Linked DNA regions of Danio rerio. The protein of the gene in region 1 interacts with the protein of each later gene in a pairwise test. Links are inferred from orthologs where the notes say so. Each region holds a gene or a part of one and is shown on either strand. Other genes may lie near its edges.

What was found.
Region 2: the proteins of stub1 (region 1) and olfm3b interact in binary tests that used the Homo sapiens proteins (3 or more experiments, as listed by UniProt). The two-hybrid records come from large-scale screens. The link is inferred for Danio rerio from reciprocal best matches to the Homo sapiens genes STUB1 and OLFM3.

What each region holds. Positions count from the first base shown.
Region 1 is NC_133199.1:43,367,289-43,380,371, forward strand, and holds the start of stub1 (E3 ubiquitin-protein ligase CHIP), read left to right. Parts: upstream 1-6,025; 5' UTR 6,026-6,271; intron 6,272-9,227; 5' UTR 9,228-9,325; coding exon 9,326-9,448; intron 9,449-11,095; coding exon 11,096-11,294; intron 11,295-12,388; coding exon 12,389-12,554; intron 12,555-13,083. Other genes in the region: luc7l (putative RNA-binding protein Luc7-like 1), read left to right, coding at 706-870, 2,668-2,791. UniProt on the Homo sapiens protein: E3 ubiquitin-protein ligase which targets misfolded chaperone substrates towards proteasomal degradation.
Region 2 is NC_133177.1:17,716,280-17,729,363, forward strand, and holds the start of olfm3b (noelin-3), read right to left. Parts: upstream 7,593-13,084; 5' UTR 7,243-7,592; coding exon 7,174-7,242; intron 1-7,173.

The DNA.
Region 1 (13,083 bases):
CTGAGCTTTACTTCAGGCCATTGGCTGGGCCATTCTCCAGGTTGAAATTTTTTTTTTCTCTGAAAGCATTTGAGTTTCCTTGGCTGTGTTTTGGATCATTGTCTTGCCGAAATGTCCGTCTTGGCTTCATCTTCATCCTCCTGCTGATGTAGATGTTGAACTGAAGCAGCTGATATTCATTTACACTGAGGAAGGGCAGAGGGTTACTGAAATACTACTGAGAGATTTCAGCTGCTGTCTGGGCTTACCCTGCCTTTTTATACCTTCCTTCCTTCATGTGTTCAAAGCTTTTCCCTTTGTCATTTCATTTTTTTTAATTAGATTAGTTTTTGTTGCATATTTGGATTTCTTTGGTGGTTAACAACATCTGGTGAAAATTTCATGTCAACAGCACCTTTAGACATGTTTTTCTGAGAAAAATGGTGACGTGTTCAATACTTATTTCCTCCACTGTACTCTACTCCACATATATTATCTTTTATCTTATTTTACCCTTGAATGTGTAACTAAATCAATGCTTAAGTCTGTTTAACTGATTATAGTTTAATTACTTTTACAACATTCATGCTGTTAAAGGAACCTCATGAAATGAACCTTTTACTGGAGGTTTGTCGGTAGACTGTGCATATACGCCATTGCAAAGAGATTTATTATAAAATAAAGGTTTTATGCAAATATAAGGTTGTCTGTTTCTTCTTTTTATAGGTCTCGTTCCCGTGAGCGTGATCGAGAGCGCAGACGCCGGCGTTCCCGCTCCGCTTCACGAGAGAAACGCCGTTCTCGCTCTAGATCCAAAGAGCGTGACAGACGCCGACGACACCGATCCCGATCCAGATCCCGCTCACGCCACAGCAGAGAACAGTCACACAAGTAATGCTTGATTTCTTTTTTTAATATACATATTAAAATGTTATATATGTTTTATATTGTTTTAGCATAGGAAAATAAACGATAACATTACATAGAACAGAAAGAGCACTAGAGAAATAATACACTTTATTTTTTAAATGTTTTAGATTCGCGGATGGACATTTACTTATAGGGGGCGTATAATGCAAAAATCACTTTTTATAGGAGGTTTAAACCCAGTTGTGTGGCAGCATTGTGTGAATATAGCCAGCCTTTACTAGTAAAATTTTTTTATTTTTTCTACAGTCTGCAGAAAGACTTTAACAATCTCCATTTGTATGTGTCATCAGAGGGGGAAAGCCCCGCCCACTAGTGCCCTTCTCTCCCTCATTAGCAAAGGAAGTCAGTCTTGTTTTGAATCTGCCACTATGCTGACACACAGGCATTTGTAGCCCCGCCCCCTTTATTTATTTTTTATTTTTGTCAAAAAAATCATCATTTATTTACATTTACTAGATTTTTTTTTTACCAGCACCAACCTTGATGACTAAAACTCTTTAAAAAATTAACAAACAAAAAAAAGTAACATCACTGATGTTTTTATTTTTTATTTAATTTTTTTTAGTCATCGGTTGTTTTGATACATAAGCACATAAACACAGTCTCAGTCATGCAGTGGGAAAGTAAAAAAAAAAAATGGGGAGATATACAAACAAGTAAACATGGTAGTACAGTCAGGATAGACAGTCTGGATATAAAAAAAAAAAAATATATATATATATATATAAATATATATATACCATAGAGTAGAAAATCAGGTGAGATTATTGATGTAATGCCAAAAAGGTGTCTATAGCTGCCAGAAGTCATCTATCTGACTTTTGATGTGCATCATAAGTGAGTTTTTCAAGTGGAAATAACGCACATACTTGAGACAACCACATTTCAAAGGAAGGCACCTGAGGAGATGACCACAATAAAAGTATACATTTCTTTGCCAGTTAGACCAAAATTTAAAACAGGTGTTTGGTGTGGGGGTCTGGCACATTCTCTACTACATCATACAACAAATACAATTCTAGAGAAAAACAGAACTTTATCTGAAAGAGAAAAAGAAAATGATGTGTTTTCCTCCAAAAAGAGATGATTTTGTCACAATCCCAAAAACAGTGAAGGAATGTTCCTTTGCCTTTTCTGCAGTTACAACAAAGATCAGAGGAGTTTCTATAAATCTTTTTCAGACGCAAGGGTGTGAGATAAACTCTGTTAATGAATTTATAATTGAGCTCTTGAACACCCAATGAAGTACATTTAGAATACAAGTTGGTGCATATTTCAGACCAATCCGTGTCTTTAATTTAGTGACCCTAGTCTTTTTCCCACACACACTTCAAACTCAAAGGAAGAAGTACATGAGTTTGACAGAACTTTATATATTTTGGAAATTAGCCCCTTGGCAAAACTGTTTGATACAATTTGCTCCATGGCTGCAAGTTCAAATGTCAGTTTACCCATTTCAGACAAAGATTTAATGAAATGACTCAGCTCAAGGTATTTAAAACCATTGGATTGTGGTATATCATATTGATTTTAAATTTCTTGGAAAGATTTAAGTGTACTGTCTGTGAAGAGGCACGATCATTTTTGAATCCCTGATTTGTAGCTCCGCCCTCTTTTTAAAATCTCATTTGAATTTTATGTAAAATTTGCATATTCATGCCAAACCTGAAGACATTTTTTTATCCTGACAGTGAACTGATGCTTTAAATAAATAGCAAACTCTTATGTTGAACTAAGCTGATTCCTGTGTGTCTTCAGGTCTTCACGAGACCGTGATCGCGAGAGGGACACCAAGCGCAGCTCATCCGAGCGGAGATCAGACGGGCTGAACGGCCGGACAGAATCTCGTCGCCATGACGACAGAGAGGCCGGAGAGATCTGAATCATCTCACGTTACCATAGCGAACACCCAGACCCATACATACATGCATATCCCCACTTTTATATCCATCATGTTTGCCTCGTCCATAGTAAACTGCCCACGTCCTCCTCCATCACAGTCCTTGTAGTCTTTAATATCTCAGTCCAGTGAGCGCTGCACCCGTCTCATCCACTGTGCTGAAATGAAAGGTGTAGCTTTGAGTTCTGTTTATTTCTTTTAAACAAACGTCTACTGCCGTTTTTTTTGCCCCGTCATGATGTCCGTCGCCGTTTACTTCTGGAATGTAGATTTGGTTTGTTCTGAGGGAATGTGTGCATGTTGTTTTTGTTCTGAAAGCTGTTCTGAGGTCAGTTTAAACGCCCCTTCCTTTAAATCTAGCTCCATTGTTTTCCCCATAGAGAGAGAGAGAGAGAGCTGTAGGAGATGACGAAATCTGAACAAGCGTGTTCTTGAAGTGTTGCTTCAGATTTATTATGTACATGATCTTTTATAATGCCGTTTTGATTTCATGTCCTCCTTATTAAAGTGCATTAAATGGTTTTATGAATTGAAGTGGTGTTTGTTGTGAATGGGGGCTCTTGCTGTTGTGAAAGGTGTGTCATTTACCTGAATCTGTTTGGTATTAATATAGAAATGACATATTGCAACATGAGTTTGATTCCATCTCGAGGATGGAGGAAAGTCCTTACCCCTGGTGGAGGAGTTCAAGTATCTCAGGGTTTTGTTCAGGAGTGAGGGAAGGATGGAGTGTGAGATTGACAGGAGGATTGGTGCAGCTGTAATGCGGTCAATGTGTTGGCCGGTTGTGGTGAAGAAGGAGCTGAGCCAAAAGGCAAAGCTCTCGATTTACCGATGAATCTACAATCCTGCTCTCAGCTATGGTCATGAGCTTTGGGTGATGACTGAAAGAACAAGATCTTGGATACAAGTGGCCGAAATGAGTCTTCTTCACAGGGTGGCAGGGCGCATCCTCATAGACGGGGTGAGGAGCTCGGAGTAGAGCCGCTGCTCTTCCACATCCAGAGAAGTCGGCTGAGGTGGCTCGGGCACCTGTTTCGGATGCCTACCTAGAGAGGTGTTCCAGGCATGTCCCACGGGGAGGAGACCTTGGGGGACACGCTGGAGGAACTATGTGTCTCTGCTGGGCTGAGAGTGCCTCAGGATCCTCCGGTGGAGCTGGAGGAAGTGTCTGGGGTTCTGTCCTAAGACTGCTGACCCTGAAAAAGCGAATGAAAATTAATAAATGAATTTAATTGCATTTAGAAAAAATTCACATGTTTTTTTTTTTTGCACCTACAATATGATGCAAAAAACGAACTTTTTTTTATTCTTCATGAAACTAAAAACAAAATTCAGGCTGATTTTGGAAGTTTTGTGTAATTGTACATATGAGAAAGACTAAATTTCACGTTTTTCTAGGAGAATTAGAGACATTTGATGTATTTTTATATTACTGTCCATGGCTAAATTATGTAGTTACATAAAAAAAATAATGTTAAAGGAAGAAATTATGGCATTTTTTGTAATTATTAATTTAAAAATGAGCAATTAAGTCTTATGAGTTATTTAAAGGTCAAATTAAAAGGTAAAAAATAGAAATGTCATACTTAAAATCATACAAAAACTCAAAAGTACGATTAGCTTAAGTAGAAATTAAATCATTGCACAATATCTTGAACATTTTTAGTTATTAAATTAATCATCACAAAGAAACTGCAAATGTAGAGTAATTAATGATAAAACTAATGAATTATGTATTATAATTATTCACATTTGTTTACATATACTTTTCTACTTGTCGACTGTTCATGTTGTCCTCATTAAAGTGCATTATATGGTTTATGAACTGAAATGGTGTTTGGTGAATGAGGGCTCTTTTACTGTTTCTTAATGTTAATATATTATTTATCTGAATGTGTTTGGTGTTCAGCAGGAAATAACATTACAACATGAATTTGAGTACATTTATTATTATTCACATCATTTTCAGCAAACTCATTGTTTTGCACCTAAAATATGATGCAGCTATTTTGGGGGGACTTTAAAATATCTCTAAACAAAAACTGAATACAAAATTCACATTTTTACAGAAGAATTAGAGACATTTGACTTATTTTTATAATAAAGTCTATGACTAAATTATGTAATTACATGAAAAAAAAATTTAAAGAAGAAATGACGGCATTCTTCATAAATGTTAATTAAAATGAGCAATTATGGCTTACTCTGAGTTATTTAAAGGTCAAAATTATAAATAGGGTATTAAAAAAAAGAAATGTTATACCTAAATCAAAATTAGAAGTGATAAGAAAGCACATTATCTTGAACATTTTTAAAGTTTTAAAATTAATAATCACAAAAAAACTAAAATGTAGAGTAAAAATGATGATAACACTAATGAATTATATATTATCATCATAATTATTCACATTTTGATTCATGTATTTTTTCTACTTGTCTTACTTGTCGACTGTTCATGTTGTCCTCATTTAAGTGCATTATATGGTTTATGAACTGAAATGGTGTTTGGTGACTCTTTTACTGTTCTTTAATGTTAATATATTATTTTTCTGAATGTGTTTGGTGTTCAGCAAGAAATTATATTGCAATCTGAATTTGAGTATGTTTATTATTAAATTATTCACATCATTTTAGCAAACTCATTGTTTTGCACCTAAAATATGATGCAGCTTTTTAGGGTGACTCTAAAATGTCTCTAAACAAAAATTAAATACAAAATGCACATTTTTACAGGAGAATTAAAGACATTTGATGTATTTTTATATTAAATTATATAGCTAAATTCTATAACTACATGAAAAAAAATATTTAAAGAAGAAATTAAGACTTTTTTTGTAATTCTTAATAAAAAATGAGCAATTATGGCTTACTCTGTTACTTAAAGGTCAAAATTATAAATAAGGTATTAAAGTCATAAGAATTAAAAGTCATTAGAAAGCTCAAAATTATATGCTGAAGTAGAAATTAAGTCAGTTATTTATATTTTTATTACATGCTTTTCTAGAACACTTTTTAAAATGTGTAACCGGAAAAAAACGTGTAAAATGTAGAATAAATAATGATAATAATCAAGCATTATTATTATAACTGTTTTCATATTTATTTATATATTTTATCTAATTATTATTATTATGAAATTAAACTCCTGCACGTCGCCGACAGGTGGCGTTATTACGTTGGCAACGAGCTTCCGATCGTCACCTCCGGCGACGTCACAGTGACGGCAGAGTCAAAACAACCGAAACATGATGCTAGCGTCTCACACCCGCGGGTAAAATGTCGTGTTTTTGAGGATCGCCGATGAAAACGTCGGACATTTGTCATCTTAATGTCATGATCGAGTCGGAATATGAGTTTGGCCGCGTTTCATTCGCTATCAGGGATCCAAAAGTGATCATCAAAGCACCAGTGTCGCTACCGGTTTGCTAACGACAGGCGTCAGTCCAGCAGTCAAACCCGGTACGCCTCAAATAATCCATATTTCATATTCAAACCATCTGATTTAATCTCTAAGCGTGTTTATTCTCAGCGCTGACCTGGTTGTTAGCTTGTAAAGTGTGTGTGAATGTGCTTATGTGTCAGGCACAGGAGTTTAATTTCTGATCGACGTGAAATTACATTTACTCGTTGGTAGTGCTTAATTTTAGTGATTAACTGTTGGATTGTGTGTGTTTTAAGTTCACAGAGCTGCATAAAGAGTCATGAATGATTTCACACAACTGTCAGTGTCCAGATGTGTGTTACTGTTGTCCAGATGTGTGTGTGTGTGTGTGTGATGTACATTAAACAATTCATTTTAATCATTTCTACTATATGAACAGCAGCTCTACAAAAGGTGCACGTTAATACATTTCAATCAAAATCAGAAAAATGTAGAGTATACACTCACCGACAGGAGCTTAATGCATTTAGGCATGTAGACATGGTCAAGACGATCTGCTGCAGGTCAAACCGAGCATCAGAATGAGGAAGTAAGGGGATTTGAGTGACTTTGAACGTGGCATGGATGTTGATAACAGACATGCTGGTCTAAGTATTTCAGAAACTGCTGATCTACTGGGATTTTCACGCACAACCATTTCTAGGGTTTACAGAGAATTCTCCGACAAAGTGGAAATATCCAGTGAGCGGCAGTTCTGTGAGCACAAATGCCTTGTTGATGCCAGAGGTCAGAGGAGAATGGCCAGACTGGTTCCAGCTGATAGAAAGGCAACAGAAACTCAAATAAGCACTCGTTACAACCAAGGTCTGCAGAAGAGCATCTCTGAACACACAACACGTCCAACCTTGAGGCGGATGGGCTACAGCAGCAGAAGAGCACACCGGGTGCCGCTCCTGTCAGCTAAGAACAGGAAACTGAGGCTACAATTCACACAGACTCACCAAAACTGGACAATAGAAGATTGGAGAAACGTTGCCTGCTCTGATGAGTCTCCATTTCTGCTGACACATTCAGATGCTCGGGTCAGAATTTGACGTCAACAGCATAAAAGCATGAATCCATCCTTCCTTGTGTCAGCGGTTTAAGCTGGTGGTGGTGGTGTATTGGTGTGGGGGAGATTTTTTTAGCACACTTTGGGTCCATTAGTACCAATTGAGGGTCGTGCAAGTTTTTGCAAGATACTTGTATTCAGCATTTAAAGGCTTAATTATGTTAACTAGGCAAGTCATTGTATAATGATGGTTTGTTCTGTAGCTAATTGAAAAATATCTTGATTTCTGTAGCGCTTTTACAATGCAGATTGTGTTAAAGCAGCTTAACATAGAAGATTATAGTGATATAGTGATAGTGTAAACTGTCAGTCCAGTTTTCAGAGTTGGAGTTCAGTTTAGATTAGTTCAGTGTGGTTTAATATTCAATACTGAGAGTTCAAACACTGAAGAGCAAATCCATCGATGCGCAGCTCCACAATTCCCAAACCAAGCAAGCCAGTGGCAACAGCGAAGGAACAATCTTCACCAATTGACGTGATTGAAGTGAAGGAAAAAACCTGGAGAGAAACCGGCTCTGTTGGGCACGACCATTTCTCCTCTGACCAAACTGCAGAAAAGCAGTCTAGGCGCCGGAGGCTGGAGAACGCTGGATGTCCATCGTGGAGAAGATGCAAGTGTGAGTAGGTCACCGGCGTGTGTTCAGGCTGGCCCACTTGATAAATGTGAGGACTTGTTTGTCACTGGGGTGATTCAGGCATCAGTCTTATGCTCTCAGCTCCTCCATGACAACCACAATATCTGCCAGGCCCGGATTGGCGAACCGAGAGAATTCCTGGTGGGTCGGTCCGTTTTTTGGCCGTGAGGGCCAGTGTCCCTAGCTGCTTGCACTCTCAGCAGTCACACTTTTTTCATTTATTTATTTATTAATTTGACCATAGCCTCACTCTTTTTTTTTGTTTTTCATTATTTTGCCGCAGCGCCGCTCTTTTTATTTATTTTTTTTCTTGCTGCTCCGTGAGCAAAATGCAGCCTGCAGGTTTACTAACGTTAATGATGATGTAACTAATCATTCGACCCCAAACAGTGGCACCTTAGTGATTATAAGAATTTGAATAATTAATATTAATGAATAATACACCTGCTCAATGAAAATCAGATGATTTACTACATTAAATCTGACAAAACTTGATCAGAAATCTAAAAGGAGAAAATGATTTAGCCATCAAAGTAATACTATGTCTTGCCGTTCACAGTGTAATCTTTATTTTTTATTCCCACTGGAATAGCGCCATTGTGGTCCAGTGGAAAGCACGTTGCGTTGCGAAACTTCCGACCCATGTTCGAATCTCACCTGAAAAATTATTATTATTATTTTTCGTTTTTATGACATAATACTGTAAGGGTTGTTGAACATTTGAATTTCTAAAGCAGCTGTTTTCTCAAAAAAGATGTGATAGTGTCATTAGAAACTGAATTGGAAATGACCTTATTTTAATGTAATCAGTCGAGGTGGGCTGGTCTGGCTTGAAACTCCAGGGCTGAAAATGAGTCCCACTCCGGCCCTGATATCTGCTCAGGATACGGCCTGGTCCAGGATTATGGAGACCTCTAGAAGTGCTCTGCGGTTGGCATCATTTCTTCACAGGTCTTGGATCACATCAATGGCGCTGCACAATCTCTAGAGGCCTCGGGATGAGTATCCCCAGGTGGAAATAGAAAATAAAGAAAATAATTAGCGTAGCTGCTGTTCATAGTGTATTTAAACAAGAGATATTAAAAATCAATGCAAAAATCAAGAGCTATAAATGAAAATAGCACTTATATAAACATAAAAACAAACACGCAAAGCATATCATTGTTTCTAACAAACTGTTTTGAATGTATATTCTTATGGTGGCTAATAAAATTGACCCCATAAGAATATTGTTATGATTTTGCACCTGCATTACTGTGGCTCATATTTTCCTTGTGTGTTTCTGAGAGGTTTGCAGGTAACTGGCTCCCCGGGACCGGCCGGTGCTCACCGAAGAGACGGGGAACAGGATTGGGAAGCAGGGGGGAGCGGCCACCGCAGAGCCCATGGAGAAGATGGCGAGCAGCCCAGAGAAAAGCTCATCCGCACAGGAGCTGAAGGAGCAGGGAAACCGCCTGTTCCTCAGCCGCAAGTACCAGGAGGCCGTCACCTGCTACAGCAAAGCCATCGTGAGTGAGGGGTGCTGGGAACACACAGAGTAAATATGTGTGTCAGTTTCAACAGCGGGGGGTTTAGGAGAAATTCAGACTCACAGAAAGTTCAGAATTATTAAACCTTCTGGTAAATAGTTTTTCCCCAATTTCTGTTTAAAGGACACATTTCTAAACATAATATTTATAATAACTCCTTTCTAATAACTGATTTATTTTCTCTTTGCCATGATGACAGCACATAATATTAGACTAGATATTCTTGAAGACACTAGTATTCAGCTTAAAGTGACATTTAAAGGCTTTACTAGGTTAATTAGGGTGAAGTTAGGGTCATTAGGCAAGTCATAATATAACAGTGGTTTGTTCTGGAGACAATCCAAACTAACATTGCATAGGGGGGCTAATAATATTGACTATTAAATGGTTTAAAACAATTATTAAATGCTTTTATTCTAGCCAAAATAAAACAAATAAAATACTGTGAAAAATTCCTGAATCTGTTCAACATCATTGGCAAATAATTAAAAAAGGAAAAATAATTCACCAGAGGGTGAAGAAATCTGCCCTCAACTGTAAATAAATTCAGAAGTTAATTATTGTATAAAAACATCAAATATTTAGTGCTGTTTAATAATAATGTTTAATATGTATACTTCTGTATACGCCATTTACAGAGGAGCGGGTGTATGTTTAAACAGACAAATACACTCAATAATATGTAAACATCTCCGTCCTGCATGTTTTATTTTAAAACTAAAGCTTATTTTCTCTTAAATGAGCGTAAACAGTTTCTAAAGTAATGGAATGCTTCATTATTGATCTGTGCATTCTTACAGAGACACCTCTGTTATCAAACAAAACAAAACATGAGATTCATTTGCTGCTCACTTGTTTGATAACAGGTGTCACTTTAAATGGCGTGTACAGACGCTGAGCTGGGATCAGTTTATTGTACGGAGCGCGTCTGTCAGTCAGCGCTTATACATGCTTTCACTGCTTCAGAGGTTGCATATATATTGCATATTAAAGAAATTGGGATAGAATGGTAAAATATGGGAGAATTTCAGCTAAAACGGGTGGGTTTACGTGAGTGAAGTGAACAGGAAGTGTTTGTGGAGAAACAGTTTTGCGAGAGAACGCAAAACATCTTCGCGAGGGAACGCAAAAACGTAGAAATATATATTTTCCTCCCAACCATATTTTTTTTTCACCCATTATTTTTTTCTCCCAGCCAATTTTTTCTCCTCAACTACGTCCCTTCCGGGTTTCTGTACAATCTGGCAACCTGTGCTTGCGTTTGTTTTGATCAAGGGGTGCAATACCTAGTTTCACCACTGGGTGTCAAACTTACATACTGCACTTATATATTACATTTAAAAAGCTATAAATCCACATAATGTTTTGGTCACATCCATAACGCATGTTTGTTTCTCTCATTTAAAGTATAAAACACACTTACAGATTAATATTTTATGATTAACTCTGTGTTTAGTCACAAATATTAACTGCTATTTCGATTTAATATTAACATAAACATTCTCTGTGAATTTTCAGTTTCAAGTTTGTACTCCAGATGTCACATCCATAATGCTGGAGTTGCTCATGAGTTGTTCTGTATGATCTTGTGTGTTGTATTAAACGTGTCTCTGCTTGTTTGTGTAGAATCGTAACCCATCAGTGGCCGTGTACTACACTAACAGAGCGCTATGCTACGTCAAGCTACAGCAGTACGACAAGGCACTGGCCGACTGTAAACACGCCCTCGAGCTCGACAGCCAATCGGTGAAGGCGCACTTTTTTCTGGGCCAATGTCAGCTGGAGCTGGAGAATTACGAAGAAGCCATCGGCAACTTACAAAGAGGTACACACTGAGCGGATTATACACGCATTTCTAATCATAATAGTTTTAATAACTCATTTCTAATAACTGATTTATTTCATCTTTGTCATGATGACAGCAAATAATATTTGACTAGATATTGTTAAAAATACTAATATTTAGCTTAAAGTAAACATTCCGGATACCTCTGAAATCTGATCTGGCACCTCATTTTACTGATCCCCCTCCTCAACCGCCCTCATCCGCTGTTCACTTTCACTTTCTTTCGCGACTCCTCAACCCTCTCCACTTTCGTCAGCGACACCCCTCTGCCATCCAACGCCCCGCTATCTTAAACACACCCCCCCCCCCTCCACCATCCAACGCCCCGCCATCTTACCCACCCCCTCCTTCAATTTAGTCTGTGCCAAACTTTTGTGTGTGGCACCTCTACATCCTGAGGTAACATGACGGATCTGTTACCCCGATCTGTTCTGGGACCTCGCAATTCACAAATGAAGCACTGCTCACCCTTTTTTCAATCTTTTAAAGCTTTATGAAATTCTTTATTTTATGGAACACAAAAGGAGATATTTTGAAAAATGTTGAAAACCTGTAACCATTGACTTCCATAGAACTTGTTTTTTAATATGAAAGTCAGTGCTCTTCAGCTTTCTTCAAATTATCTTCATTTAATGGGATAGTTCACCCCAAAATTTAAACTTCAGGAGTTTTTTTATTCTGTTGAACACTAAAGAAGATATTTTGAAAAATGTTGCAAACCTGTAACCATTGACTTCCATAGTAGAAAACAAAACTAATTGAAGTCAAATGGTTCCAGGGTTCCAGCCTTCTTTAAAAAATCTTCCTTTCTGTACAGAAAAAAGAAACTCTGACATGTTTTGAACAAGTAAAGGGTGAGTAAATGATGACAGAACTGTAATTTTTGGGTGAAAGTTCTTTCATTAAATTAATCTATTCTCTAATAATGTTGATTTTCTTTTGGTCAATATATTAGTCATTAATAGTATATAAAATAAGTAAACATTATTGGCACAAAATCTCTAAAATGCCCTACAGAATGTCTAGACATCATACAATGTCTGTGATTAAATTGCTCTTTGAATCATTTCCAGCCTATAACCTGGCGAAGGAACAGAGGCTCAATTTTGGAGACGACATCCCAAGTGCTCTTCGCATCGCCAAGAAGAAACGCTGGAACAGCATAGAGGAGAAGCGGATCAGCCAAGAGAACGAGCTGCACGCCTATCTCAGCAAACTCATCCTGGCCGAGAAGGAGAGGTGTGTGTGTGTTTGTGTGTGCATATGTGTTTTTTTTGTATGTGTGTCTGTGTGAGTTTCTTTATTTGTGTGCGTGTTTGCTTGCCTGTGTTTCTGTGTGTGTGTTTGCTTGTGTGTGTGTCTTTGTTTGTTCATGTGTGCATTTGTTTGTGTGTCTGTCTTGTGTGTTTTGTGTGTGCTTTTTGTTTTTGTTTGTTTGTGTGAGTTTAAGTGTGTGCATTTGTGTTTGTGTGTGTGTGTTTGTGTGTGCATTTGTGTTTGTGTGTGTGTGTTTGTGTGTGCATTTGTGTTTGTGTGTGTGTGTTTGTGTTTTTTTTTGTATGTGTGTTTGTTTATTTGTGTCCATGTGGGCTTCTGTGTGTGAGTTTGCTTGTGTGTCTATGTGTCTGTTTGTTTGCTTGTGTGTTTTTTGTGCGTGGCTTTGTGTGTGTGTGTGTGTGTGTGTGTGTCTTTGTGTGTTTGTTTGTGTGTGTGTGTTTGTCTGTGTGTGCATTTGTGTGTGTGTGTGTTTGTGATTTTTTTTTGTATG
Region 2 (13,084 bases), on another chromosome or scaffold:
CAAGCTTCAAACTAAAGATTGAAACAACAGTTTGACAAATCTTGTGGCTGTTAAACCACAACATATACAGTATATTTTAGGCTTTTTTTTTAGACAAGAACGTACTTTATTTCTTTCGTTAGATTTCAAATTTGTGATTTATTTATAAGCATAGCATCTGTTTAAAAAAAAAATGCTTTGATATGAGAGAGCCTCTCATTCATCACCTAGACTACCCTTCAGATAGGTATTCTTTCTTGGTAGTTATTCTGGGGTCTGATGGATGTCTCTACAGCATTTAAATGTGAAAAATAATTTGTTTTCAATATTTGGTAGTAATAATTAGCTATTTTCTCCAGAGTAAATAGATTTGACTGCAATGTTAACTCTTACAGCTGTACAATAAATGCTATTCAAAACTTGGCCACTATTTTTTGTTCATATTTAGCATTTTTATGCTGTATATTTTGGTGGTTTATCAATGGCTTTTGTCCATCTGTAAATATGGTAGATTAATCTATGACTAAGCAAGGCTTTTTCATTCCTCAATACTTTATATTAGTTTAACCTAATGGGTAACTAGTTAACTATTTAACCAACCACATAGTTAGATAGAGGTTAACTTAATGTTGATTGAGCTTGGATTGATTACTTCATACTTAATGTGTAAATTATACAGTGTATTGTGTAAATTACTGATTACTGTCAGATATCGACTCAACCCAACCAAATTTTTTTTATTTATTTATTAAACTTTTTAATCAACAAATTGGTCTGTCCATATCTGAACCAAAATTAAAACCACCAAGCAATTGTAAATAGAGCATTTAACCACTTCATATAGAAGACATTAGCCAAGATCACAGGTGTCAATTTCAGTTTCTGGAGGGCCATTGCTCTGCACAGTTTAGTTCCAACCCTGCTCCAACACACTAAAGCAGTGATTGGGACTTCATTATTTTTGCCTAAAATAAAGATCACAATTTTCTCACAATTTTGTAGATGCAAAGTAAAGGTCAATATGAATAGGCTATTATTAGTGTTATTTCTCAAACATATGTTAAAACAACAATAATAATAATAGGCCAATGTGTAGATCTACTGTTGGTTAAATGCTACATTTTGTATATACATGGAACGATAGATTCGGACAGACTAAATATGTCCTGTTTGTTGATTCACAGTAAAGTGATGACATCAGAATACAACTATTCATAATTTTAAAGTTGAATTATCATATAGACATATGCTTGTCATCTGTCATTGACAGCATTATTAGATCATTTTTCTTCACTGGTAAAATGAGACATTTGTCATTATCAGTTTCTCTCCTGCATTATATTCAACATTATATAGGCTAGAGTAGTTATACTGACCCAGTAAACATTTGTTGTAATGCACATTTTTCAAACACTTTTGTGTTTGCTGAAAGAAAAAAACATATCAAGTGATTTGCGTAATTATACTGTAACTCTAAAATCTGATCGTTTAAATGATGCACGCGCCTGTTGCACTTTACTGCCGTGTGCGTTCATGTCTGCTGTGAGGAAAAAAAAAAAACCATACATGCAAATCATACTTCCCGCATGGCTATCAAACGATCGCTCTGTGCAGAAAACTGAACTTTATGTACAACTTCATTACCTGTTATTCACATTCTATACAGGTTCTGTTCACTAAAGTAGCCATGGCGTGCACGCGCGCGTCCTCTCTGAGGTAAACAAACAGTGCGTCAGCTCACGTGTGATTTTGCGGCTGCGAATACATCATTACATTAAGACAGAAATGACATTTTAGGGTGAATTATACACTTAAATTTGTTAAGTGACACGTTTAACACCATTTGGAGGTGTACATGTTGCCTAGCAGCATATGTATAACAATAAAAAGACTTGTGCAACTCACCTTTATGCTTCTCTCATGCTCTTGAAAATATAATTGGCTGAATCGTAGAAAAGCTGAATTAAGATTGTAGGATCGATTCAAGATCTCAATCCTTTTTTTGATAAATCGTGCAGCCATTGCAGCGGTCACACTGGACTTTTCTCCACATAGACTTCCATTCATACGCATGTGAATGCGTCAGACCGGAAACACAAGCTACTGTAGTGCAACAAGTTTCACAGTTCGCTGCGTTGGAAAGCTAAAGCTTGGTAAACTCTGACCCGCGAAATCACATCACATGATTGCGTGAGACCAATAAAAGATTAAAACATGACCTCTCAGTACAGAAATTTAATACATGGACCATTTGCTTGCTTTTTTAAATGTCTAATCCCTCTTTTCGAAGTGCCATACAACAGAATTTCACACGCACAAACTCTAGTGCAGGGGTGGGCAAACTCGTGCCTGGAGGGCCAGTGTCCTGCACAGTTTAGCTCCAACCCTAATCAAACACACCTGCTTATAGATTTATTGTGATCTTAAAGACACTGATTAGCATGTTCAGGTGTGTTTGACTAGTGTTGGAACAAAACTCTGCAGGGACACTGGCCCTCGAGGATCAAGTTTGCCCACCCCTGCTCTAATGTGACCGCAGCATCACCTGTAGGTCTCCAACAAGCCTGAAGGACTTAGTTTGATCAGGTGAGCTTAATTAGGCTTAATTAGGGTTGAAACTAAACTGTGAAAAGAGCTGCGGCCCTCCAGGAACTGGAATTGACACCTGTGGCCTAGACAATATAGTTTTCCAACTTAATTCAGTTTAAGTTTTGTGCTTATGTCAGTGCAGTTAAATATATAATTTTACTGGTTATCAGGAGACATCTCAAACTGTTCCTGGAGGGTCAATGTCCAGTAGAATTTTGTTCAATCACACAAGACTAAAAGGCTCCTATTGAATCTGAAGGCCTTTGGTGTATACAAAATCAGAGCAGGTTCTGTATTTCAATATAAACTTACTTCTTGAGCGCTAAAAATGTTTGCTCTAGATTATTTGTAGTATGAATAAAATGCAGACGGGCGACACAGTGGCTCAGTGGTTAGCACCGTCACCTCACTGCAAGAAGGTTGCTGGTGGGTTTCCCCCGGGTGCTCCGGTTTCCCCACATTGCAAAGACGTGCAAAGACGTGACAAAATTAAATTGGCCATGGTGTAAGTGTGTGAATGTGTATGGATGATTCCTCCTAGTACTAGGTTGCAGCTGTAAGGGCATCCACTGTGTAAAACATATACTGGATAAGTTGGCAGTTATTCTGCTGTGGTAACCCCAGATGAATAAAGGGACTAAGCCGAAGGAAAATGAATGAATGAAATGCAGACATATTCCACTCAACGCATTATTCAGAAACTCAGCCAGAAGTAGTAGGTCAACCAGGTATTTACCAACTAAATTTTTCATATGTTCATATTTGCTGTTTTTGACATACTCTATCCGCTTGTTAAGTGTGATGCCACACAAATCAGATTTTTGGTCCAAGCACTTTATCAAACTGGATAGGGAAGACTCAACAAATGGTAATAATAAACGTTGACAAAGTGATTAAAAAAAAAAAAAAAAAAAAAAATATATATATATATATATATATATATATATATATATATATATATATATATATATATATATATATATATATATATATATATATATATATATATATATATATATATATAAATTTTTTTCATTTTTGAATATTTTCCAAATTATGTTTCCCAAATTTTATCAATATGTCTGATAAGATTTTTTCTTCTGGAGAAAGTCTTATTTGTTTTATTTCAGCTAGAATAAAGCAGTTTTTATTTTTTTAACGCCATTTTAAGGACAAACTTATTAGCCCCTTTAGATATTTTTTCGATTGACTGCAGAACAAACCATCATTATACAATAACTTGCCTAGTTACCCTAACCTGCCTAGTAACCTAATTAACCCAATTAAGTCTTTAAATGTTTCAATATTCACTGTCATCATGGCAAAGGTAAAATAAATTTTTTATAGAGATGAGTTATTAAAACTATTATGTTTAGAAATGAGTTGAAATAATCTTCTGTCAGTTAAACAGAAACTTGAGAAAAAAATAAACAGAGGGGCTAATAATTCAAGTGGGTTAATAATTTTGACTTCAATTGTATATAAACTAACACAGAACAAGTGGACACAATACAATATGTAAAAAACTGAAAAAAGTCCACAAAAAATTAACAAATGAACCATATATATATATATATATATATATATATATATATATATATATATATATATATATATATATATATATTTTTTTTTTTTTTTTTTTTTTTTTTTCCATTCATTTTTTTTTCAGTTTAGTGCCTTTATTAATGTGGGGTCGCCACAGCGGAATGAACTGCCAACTTATCCAGCACATTTTTACGCAGCGGATGCCCTTCTTGCCACAACCCATCTCTGGAAAATATCCACACAAACTCATTCACATTCATACACAACCGACAATTTAGCCTTCCCAATTCACCTATACCAAATGTCTTTGGACTGTGGGGGAAACCGGTGCACCCGGAGGAAACCCACACGAACGCAGGGAGAACATGCAGACTCCACACGGAAACGCCAACTGAACTAGGCGAACAAGTGACCTTCTTGCTGTGAGGCGACAGCACTACCTACTACCGACATCTAAATGTGCTGCCTACTTTTTGAATGGGAGGTAGGACAATCTGACAAGGTATGACAAATCAACAGAACACCGGAAACAGTATTCCATACGTCACAACTTAACAAGCGGATATTTAAGTGCTTTCATTTGGATTAAAGCTAAACTTTGCAGGACAGTGACCTCCTATAGGGACAGCCCTACTTTAACATGGAAGAATATTCAGAAAATTCATTTAGATTCATGCACTCATCAAACTGAATCCAATTCAATCGCGAGCTGCTAAACCACAGCAGATAAAAGAAGAAAAAACAAAGAAGTGTGTTTTGACTACAAATAGCCCCCGTTGCAACACCTTCATGATAAAGCCTCTCTCTCCACCTTCATCACCTAAAATTTCCCTAGATTGTCTACAACAATAAAGGCGCTTTGTAAACACCCACATTCATTCTTTTTTTTTCCCCTCCACTCTCGCAGCAGGCTCTGAAAGGCCGGCTCTGGGGACTAGCCTTTTACAGGCGAGTTGAAAAAAAAAAAAAAAGTGGGTGCTTTACACACTCTGGCACACTTCCTGAAGCTGCTGCAACTACCAACTAACTGCAATTTCAGCAAATTGTAACATATCCAAGTTGGATGGGCACTTCCTGCTAGTTCACTGTCATTATGAGATATGAGCCGAGGGATTCTGCTCCTCAAATAAGAACTGCAGCTGGGTTTATTAAGACTAAATGAGAGATTCTCGTGACACTTTCAGATACTACAGGCTTCTTTTGTTTCCAGTCACATTCAGATGAATTCTCTGGGTTTTACAAGACAAATAGATAGCTGTTTGTCAGCATTGCAGATTTTGATCTTGACCCAGTGCTGAAAAAGACCCCTTTGGGATAGCATACAGATTAATAATGATGCCGAGAACAGGCTGACAAAGAAAACATTTCTCTCTTAAACTCTTTAGCAATGTCAGATGCTGTTGTTTAGGGGTTTTTAATATTCTAGATGACCTAGATGTCCAAAAATGATCATCCTGCACTCTCAGAAATAAAGGTACAGACGCTGTCACTGGGGCAGTACTTTTTCAAAAGGTACATATTGATACCTAAAGGTTCCATAATGGTCCCTCAAAGGTACTTTTTTAGGTACATTTGGGCACTAATATGCGCCTTTACTGTAAATTCTTTGGGTACAAATATGTATCTTTTGAAAAGGTACTGCCCCAGTGACAGCTCCTGTACCTTGATTTCTGAGAGTGTGGTGTGAAAGACCCCCATCTTAATATATAAAAAGCATCTATCTATCTATCTATCTATCTATCTATCTATCTATCTATCTATCTATCTATCTATCTATCTATCTATCTATCTATCTATCTATCTATCTATCTATCTATCTATCTATCTATCCATCCATCCATCCATCCATCCAACCACCCACCCACCCACCCATCCATCCATCCATCCATCCATCCAATTTAAGTAGTTATTATTATTAATCTAAGTTTATTTTTTATATTTTATTATGTACATTTTAGCTTTAATTCTATGTTTATTAATTTATTTAGATCTTACATTAATTTAAATTATTCATAAAAAATTCAGTGTGTTTTTCCCAAACATTTCCATAGCACTTTGCAGTTTAAAAGCCTTGCTTTCCTTCTCACTTTGTATCAAAATATTTTAGTGTCATATTAGTGGATTAATAATTTAATATGTGTTTTAGACTAGTTTTAAAAATTAGCAATCGGTACATACAGCATGAACTGTTACACTGCCTTTATATTACAACTTAAGGTATTTAATGGCTGTTTTTAAAGGCTACTTCTGTACTTACTGCAGAAAACACATCTTCATTTGGATGACAGTATAGGCTACTATAGTCTAATAATATAAACTAAAAATACACTAATGTTGAAAAATACACAAATAAATTAATAATTAAAATAATTAACTAGTATATTATGGTTGTAATAGTGTACAGAAAATAAATAATGGGAAGAAAATTGTAATTATAGTTCATTTTGTTCTGTGGAAAGGCATGCGATTTACAATACCATATTTATAAACTATTGTTTCCCAAATAACTTTTTTTTTTATTAGGAAAAAAATAAACATATAAGTTCTTATTTATTATGACGTATAAATTATTAAAACACATCTAGCAGCAAATAAAAAAAAAACGGAGTACAAAATGCATTGTTGCACATACTTTACTTTTTACTATGCATTTAGGCAACAAACAGCTAATGCTCAGTACTGTACATGTGGATGCTTACAACCGTTTAAACGCCGGAAATAAAACTGATTGAAAACTGAATCGTTTAATGTCGTCCATTCAGTATAACATAATGTTCTTACCAAAACATTTTTTCCCTTATGGATATTTACATAAAATCCAGCCAGCTTAGTTGCATTGCATCGTATTAACTCCCTCTCTCTAGACTTAGGGTGTCACTAAATGATATTATCGCATTAACATAAGAATACCTCACAAAAATGACACCGAGAGCCTTATTAGTTACTTTGCGTCCACACTCAGCCTTTCATACACCCTGTTCCTCTGACTCAGTGCTGTTTTAGCAGCCGGACTCAGACATGTCAAGTTTTTGTGTATGTGAAGTCAGTAAGACTCACCGCGGAAGGGCAGTAGCCGAGCAGGGCGAGAAAACACAGCGGTTTCAGCACCACGAACAGCGGCCGCATTCTGCCTCGAGTCTCCCGCCTACGTGTCTCTTTCAGCCCGATTCCCCGCGATGGTTCAGATGGAGCTTGTCCGTTCGCTGGGACCAGAGATTCTCGACAGAGCCGCGGAAAATGCGAGCGCTGTCATCGTCGCTCCGGGCGCAGAAAAGTTTGAGAGATGTGTGGAGACTCTCGGCGGATATTACATCATCGCTTCACTGTGGGGTTACTCTACTTATCTGCCAAACTTGATGTGTGTAATAAGTTCACGACTTGTATATACTTTAGGTAAAAGCTAAAGACTAAGGTTTAGGCTGTATGAACAAAATGTCCACTATCTCGTTCTCATAAGAAACGAATCTGACTCCTTTAACCTGTTTTATAGCATATTTTAAAGAAATTATAATAAGAATTGCAATTTAATTATTCTTTTTAAGGAGGCAAAAATAACCAACAGTACATTAACTGGTAATTACTTAACCATATGTAAAACTTTATTTTTAAATGATATAATAACAAGCATTATCACACATTTTCTAAACGCCAAATATCATCAATTATATCAATCATGTTTCTACAATGATTTTAAGATTAAAGTTTCTTGTGACAATTTCGTGACAATCAACCAAAATGAATTCACCAACATGAATTACCTCAAATAAATCAACCAAAATGAATCAACCAAAATTAATTTACCAAAATATATCAAGCAATGAAGCAAAATTAATTCACCAATATGAATCATTTATTCATGTTCTTTTCGGCTCAATCCCTTTAATAATGGGGTTGCCTCAGCAGAATGTACAGCCAACTTATCCAGCATATGTTTTACACAGCGGATCCCCTTTCAGCTGCAACCCATCTCTGGGAAATATCCATATACACTCATACACTACGGACAATGTAGCCTTTCCAATTCACCTGTACTGCATGTCTTTGGACTGTCAGGAAAACCGGAGCACCTGGAGGAACCCCACGCAAACACGGGGAGAACATGCAAACTCCACACAGAAACACCAACTGACCCAGGCGAGGCTCAAACCAGCGACGTTCTTGCTGAGAGGCGACAGCACTACCTACTGCACCACTGTGTCACCCCAGTAATATGGATCAACCAAAATGAATAAATCAAAATGAATTATTCAAAATAAATCAACCAAAATAAATTCACCAAAATTAATCATCAAAAATTAATCAACCTAAATTAATCAATCAAAATTAATCGACTAAAATTATTTTACCAAAATTAATCAACTAAAATTAATCAACTAAAATGAACTCACCAAGATTAATCAATCAAAATTAATCAACTAAAATTAATCGACTAAAATTAATCAACTAAAATTAATACACCAAAATTAATCAACCAAAATTAATCAACTAAAATGAATCAACTTAAATTAATCAACTAAAATGAATCAACCAAAATGAATTTACCAAAATTAATCAACAAAAATTAATTCACCAAAATTAATCAATCAAAGTTAATCAACTAAAATTAATCAACCAAAATTAATCAACCAAAATTAATCAACTAAAATTAATCAACTAAAATTAATACATTTAAAATTAATCAACTAAAATTAATCGACTAAAATTAATCAACTAAAATTAATACACCAAAATTAATCAACCAAAATTAATCAACCAAAATTAATCAACTAAAATGAACTCACCAAGATTAATCAATCAAAATTAATCAACTAAAATTAATTAAGTAAAATTAATCAACTAAAATTAATACACCAAAATTAATCAACCAAAATTAATCAACCAAATTAATCAACTAAAATGAATCAACTTAAATTAATCAACTAAAATGAATCAACCAAAATTAATTCACCAAAATTAATCAACAAAAATTAATTCACCAAAATTAATCAACCAAAGTTAATCAACTAAAATTAATCAACCAAAATTAATCAACCAAAATTAATCAACTAAAATTAATACATTTAAAATTAATCAACCAAAATTAATCAACTAAAATTAATCAACCAAAATTAATCAACCAAAATTAATCAACCAAAATCAATCAACCAAAATTAGTTAACCAAAAGAATCAAAGTAGGGATTTTGAATCACCAAAATGACTCAAAATAAGCGCTCATTCCATAATTAATATTGAAGTACGCATGGTATTATGTTACATTTTATGTCTAAAAAGTTTGATAGGGTTGGAAAATTCTATTGGACTTTTTTCTGTAAACTGCATTCCATCAGTGCATCTACCTGATCAAAACTAGTAACAACGTGTCTCATTAATAAACTGTTAGGCTAATATTAAACAATGGAAACTGGCAAATCTAATGCATGTTGAGTACATGTTCATCTCTGTCCTGGCTAACTTGTTGCTTTGCTGCCTAGCTTTTTGTTTACACTTGTTGTATAATTTATAGTGAAATGCGTGCCGTTTTATTGTTAAAGTAACAAAAAGTGACTGAAATTTGCCAAATAAAGTAGCCTAAATTTGTTTCTTATTTGATCAATCTGTAGCAAATGTTGGCATCACTCAACACTAAATACATTTTTAAGGTTTTCATCAGTAGTCTGTTTGGCCCACTGACTGAAAGTAGTGCAGGGAATGTACTTTGTTGCACAATATGAAAAATGGGTCAGAAAAGATCCTGTTTTCAAACCAATTTCACTCATAATATATGATGTAATATTAAACATGACTTTGGTTATTTCATAACACTGAAAATGAGACCAAATAAATGATGTATGTTTTTTTTGTATAGTATGTGCTTTATAGAATAAGAGGTTATGAATTGATGGCAGTCTAAAATAAAGCTCACAACACATTTCATTAAACAAGATATATGCTAAAATAGTCTCATCAGAAGTTAAATCATAAACCTAACCTCACCTCTGCTCACATTTTCAATTAGTTGCTTGGCAACAAGTGTGGTGCACTTATTTTAGACTGGGCTTCTCTTTATCTCTACCTATATTAAAAGAGAATGTCATTTTTTACTTTAGTGTTCATATCAGTATATGGTGAAACAATATACATAGAGACATTATTGTACAGTTAAAATATCCTGGGTTCGAATGATGTACGCAATAGAGTAGCTTGTCCTTTTTTAAATTGAGTTCACAGAATTATTCTATACTTTTTACAATATGTAATATAAGTATCAGGTTTCATACCAAAATACAGGGTTGATCATTTATTATACCATGCTGTAAAAGATTATTTTAAATGTTTTATTGTGTCTCTTTAAATGCAAATGAACAGCTGATCTTGCACCCTTTTCATATGAAGCCGTGGTTTACACTTCGTCAACCCAGTTACTTAGAACAACAAACAAAACCATCATGTGCTTTACAGTCTTGGCAGTCGAAACTCTTGGGGCTCTATTTTAACAAACCAATATACTAGTTAATAGCAACATTGTTAACATGTTAATAATAAATATTAAAACATTAACATTAAACTTTTCAATTATTTCAGACCCCTGGGGTAATTAGGTTATATTAAAGACACAGCAATACCATCAGATGCAGCACAATAGTTTTTTGGCACTATGTTAAACTTTCTAATGCCTTTATGGCACTCACGTACATCAAAAATAAATACAAGCCACAAATAAAGATGGAGGATGGTCTCTGAGTGGTTTTATCCTAATTAAATGATGAATAGACTTGGGCCTATTGATGTGTGCAAGGATTATTTATCTATAACCACCCCAGAGAATACTGAGGGTCGTGACTCGTGAGTCACTGGCATTGTTATTTTAGGGATCGCATGCTGAAAAGTTTGGGATCCCCTGGTCTAAAGCGCATGCATTTAGGTTGTGAATTTACGTTGGCAATTTTAATGATGGGAAAAAAGGTCAGTACATCCAAAAAGGTATACATGGGTTTTGATCATAACATGCGTTAAACCGATCAGAGAATTATCTCCCATTTACTTAAAGAATTGCCATTGTGCAATGATGGATTTGCTATTTATATGGCAGATTTCGTAAGCTGTGAAACAATTCACTAAGGATGAAACGTATCTGCTCATGCGTGACTACGAAACAAACTGGATTCCACAAAATCCTCTGTAGATGAAGGAGGTAGCTTTTTTATATTTACAGTTGACGTCAGAATTATTAGCCCCCTTCGAATTTTTTTCTTCTTTTTAAATATTTTCTAAATGATGTTTAACAGAGCAAGGGAATTTTCACAGTATGTCTGATGATATTTTTTCTTCTGGAGAAAGTCTTATTTGTTTTATTTTGGCAGTTTTAATTTTTTAAACACCATTTTAGGGACAAAATTATTAGCCCTTTTAAGCTATTTTTTTTATTCTCGATAGTCTACAGAACAGACCATCATTATACAATAACTTGCCTAATTCCGCTAACTTGCCTAGTTACCCTTATTAACCTATTTAAGCCTTTAAATGTCACTTTAAGTTGTATAGAAGTGTCTTGAAAAATATCTAGCAAAATATTATTTACTGTCATCATGGCAAAGGTAAAATAAATCCATTATTAGAACTGAGTTATTAAAACTACTATGTTTAGATATGTGTTGAAGAAATCTGCTCTCCATTAAATAGAAATTGGGGAAAAAATAAACAAGCGGTCTATTAATTCAGGGGGGCTAATAATTCTGACTTCAACTGTATGTAGATAATATTTTTTTACATTTTAATCCACATTTAATTTTAATTTTTGAACATATTTAATTACCTTTTCCAAGCGTGTTGCTGTGCATCCCATTGTGTGTAATAATGTCACATCCCCAGCTTGTTCCTGCTCACCCAATCAACGTTCTCCCTCACATACCACCTCCATCCAATCCAGTGAACCTTCATCAGACTACTAACGACTTGCACCTGTTCTTCATTACCCATGGACACTTTAAAGACCCATCTTCTTGGTTTTCTCGTCGGCCGGTATTCAAGTCAGATAGCTGTCTTCACCTTTGCTCCGGTGTCTTCTCACCTTTATACATAGTTGTTCCTCATGAGTCATCGAGTCCTTCATTCTGATCAAGGGAAGTGATTATTCTTATCTGATGTTTACTGGGAGATCTGCTATCACTCTGATGAACTGTGTGCCTGTGTACTCACCTACGGGTGATCTTTATCTGCTTACTGATCCTTCTCACTGATTCAGTGGAAAGCTCACTTGTGTAGTGGATACCAGAAGAATCACCACCAACTAGATGAACTGTGTATCTAAGTATTCACCTGCAGTGGTATAAGAACAAACATCTTGTGAAATCGAATGCTTACACATGAGATGTGTTTACCAGAAGATCCACTACCAACTAGATGAACTGTATACTCTCCTACTGTGTGTAAAACAAGCAAACTTCTAGTGAGATCGAATGCTACACTATTGATGCTCTCATTGCTGTATGAAGATCAAAACAGTATATACATTAACCCTTTGTATTCCCTTTGTGATTAGTGACTTTATTTTGAATAAAACATGTGAAAAGATAACCACTTCTGTCTTCTGTGTCTACCAGCGTGACAAATAAGCAATGTGTATTTTGGTATCGATAACATGCTCTTTAAAAACATGTGTATATAATAATAACCACGCTGGACACTGGTTTAAGTCCCAGCTGGACCAGTTGGTGTTTCTGTGTGGAGTTCTCCCCGTGTTTGCATGGGTTTTCTCTGGGTGTTCTGCTTACACTCACCGTCCAAATACATGCAATGAAAGTGAATTGGGTAAACAAAATGGCCTTATGAGTGTGAATGTGAGTATGGGTATTTCCCAGTACTGGGTCGTGGCTGGAGGGGCATCCGCTGTGTAAAACTTATGCTGAAATAATTGGCGGTTCATTCCGCTGTTATAACCCCTGATATATGAGCTAAGCCAAAGGAAAATGAATTAATAACCATGCCAGT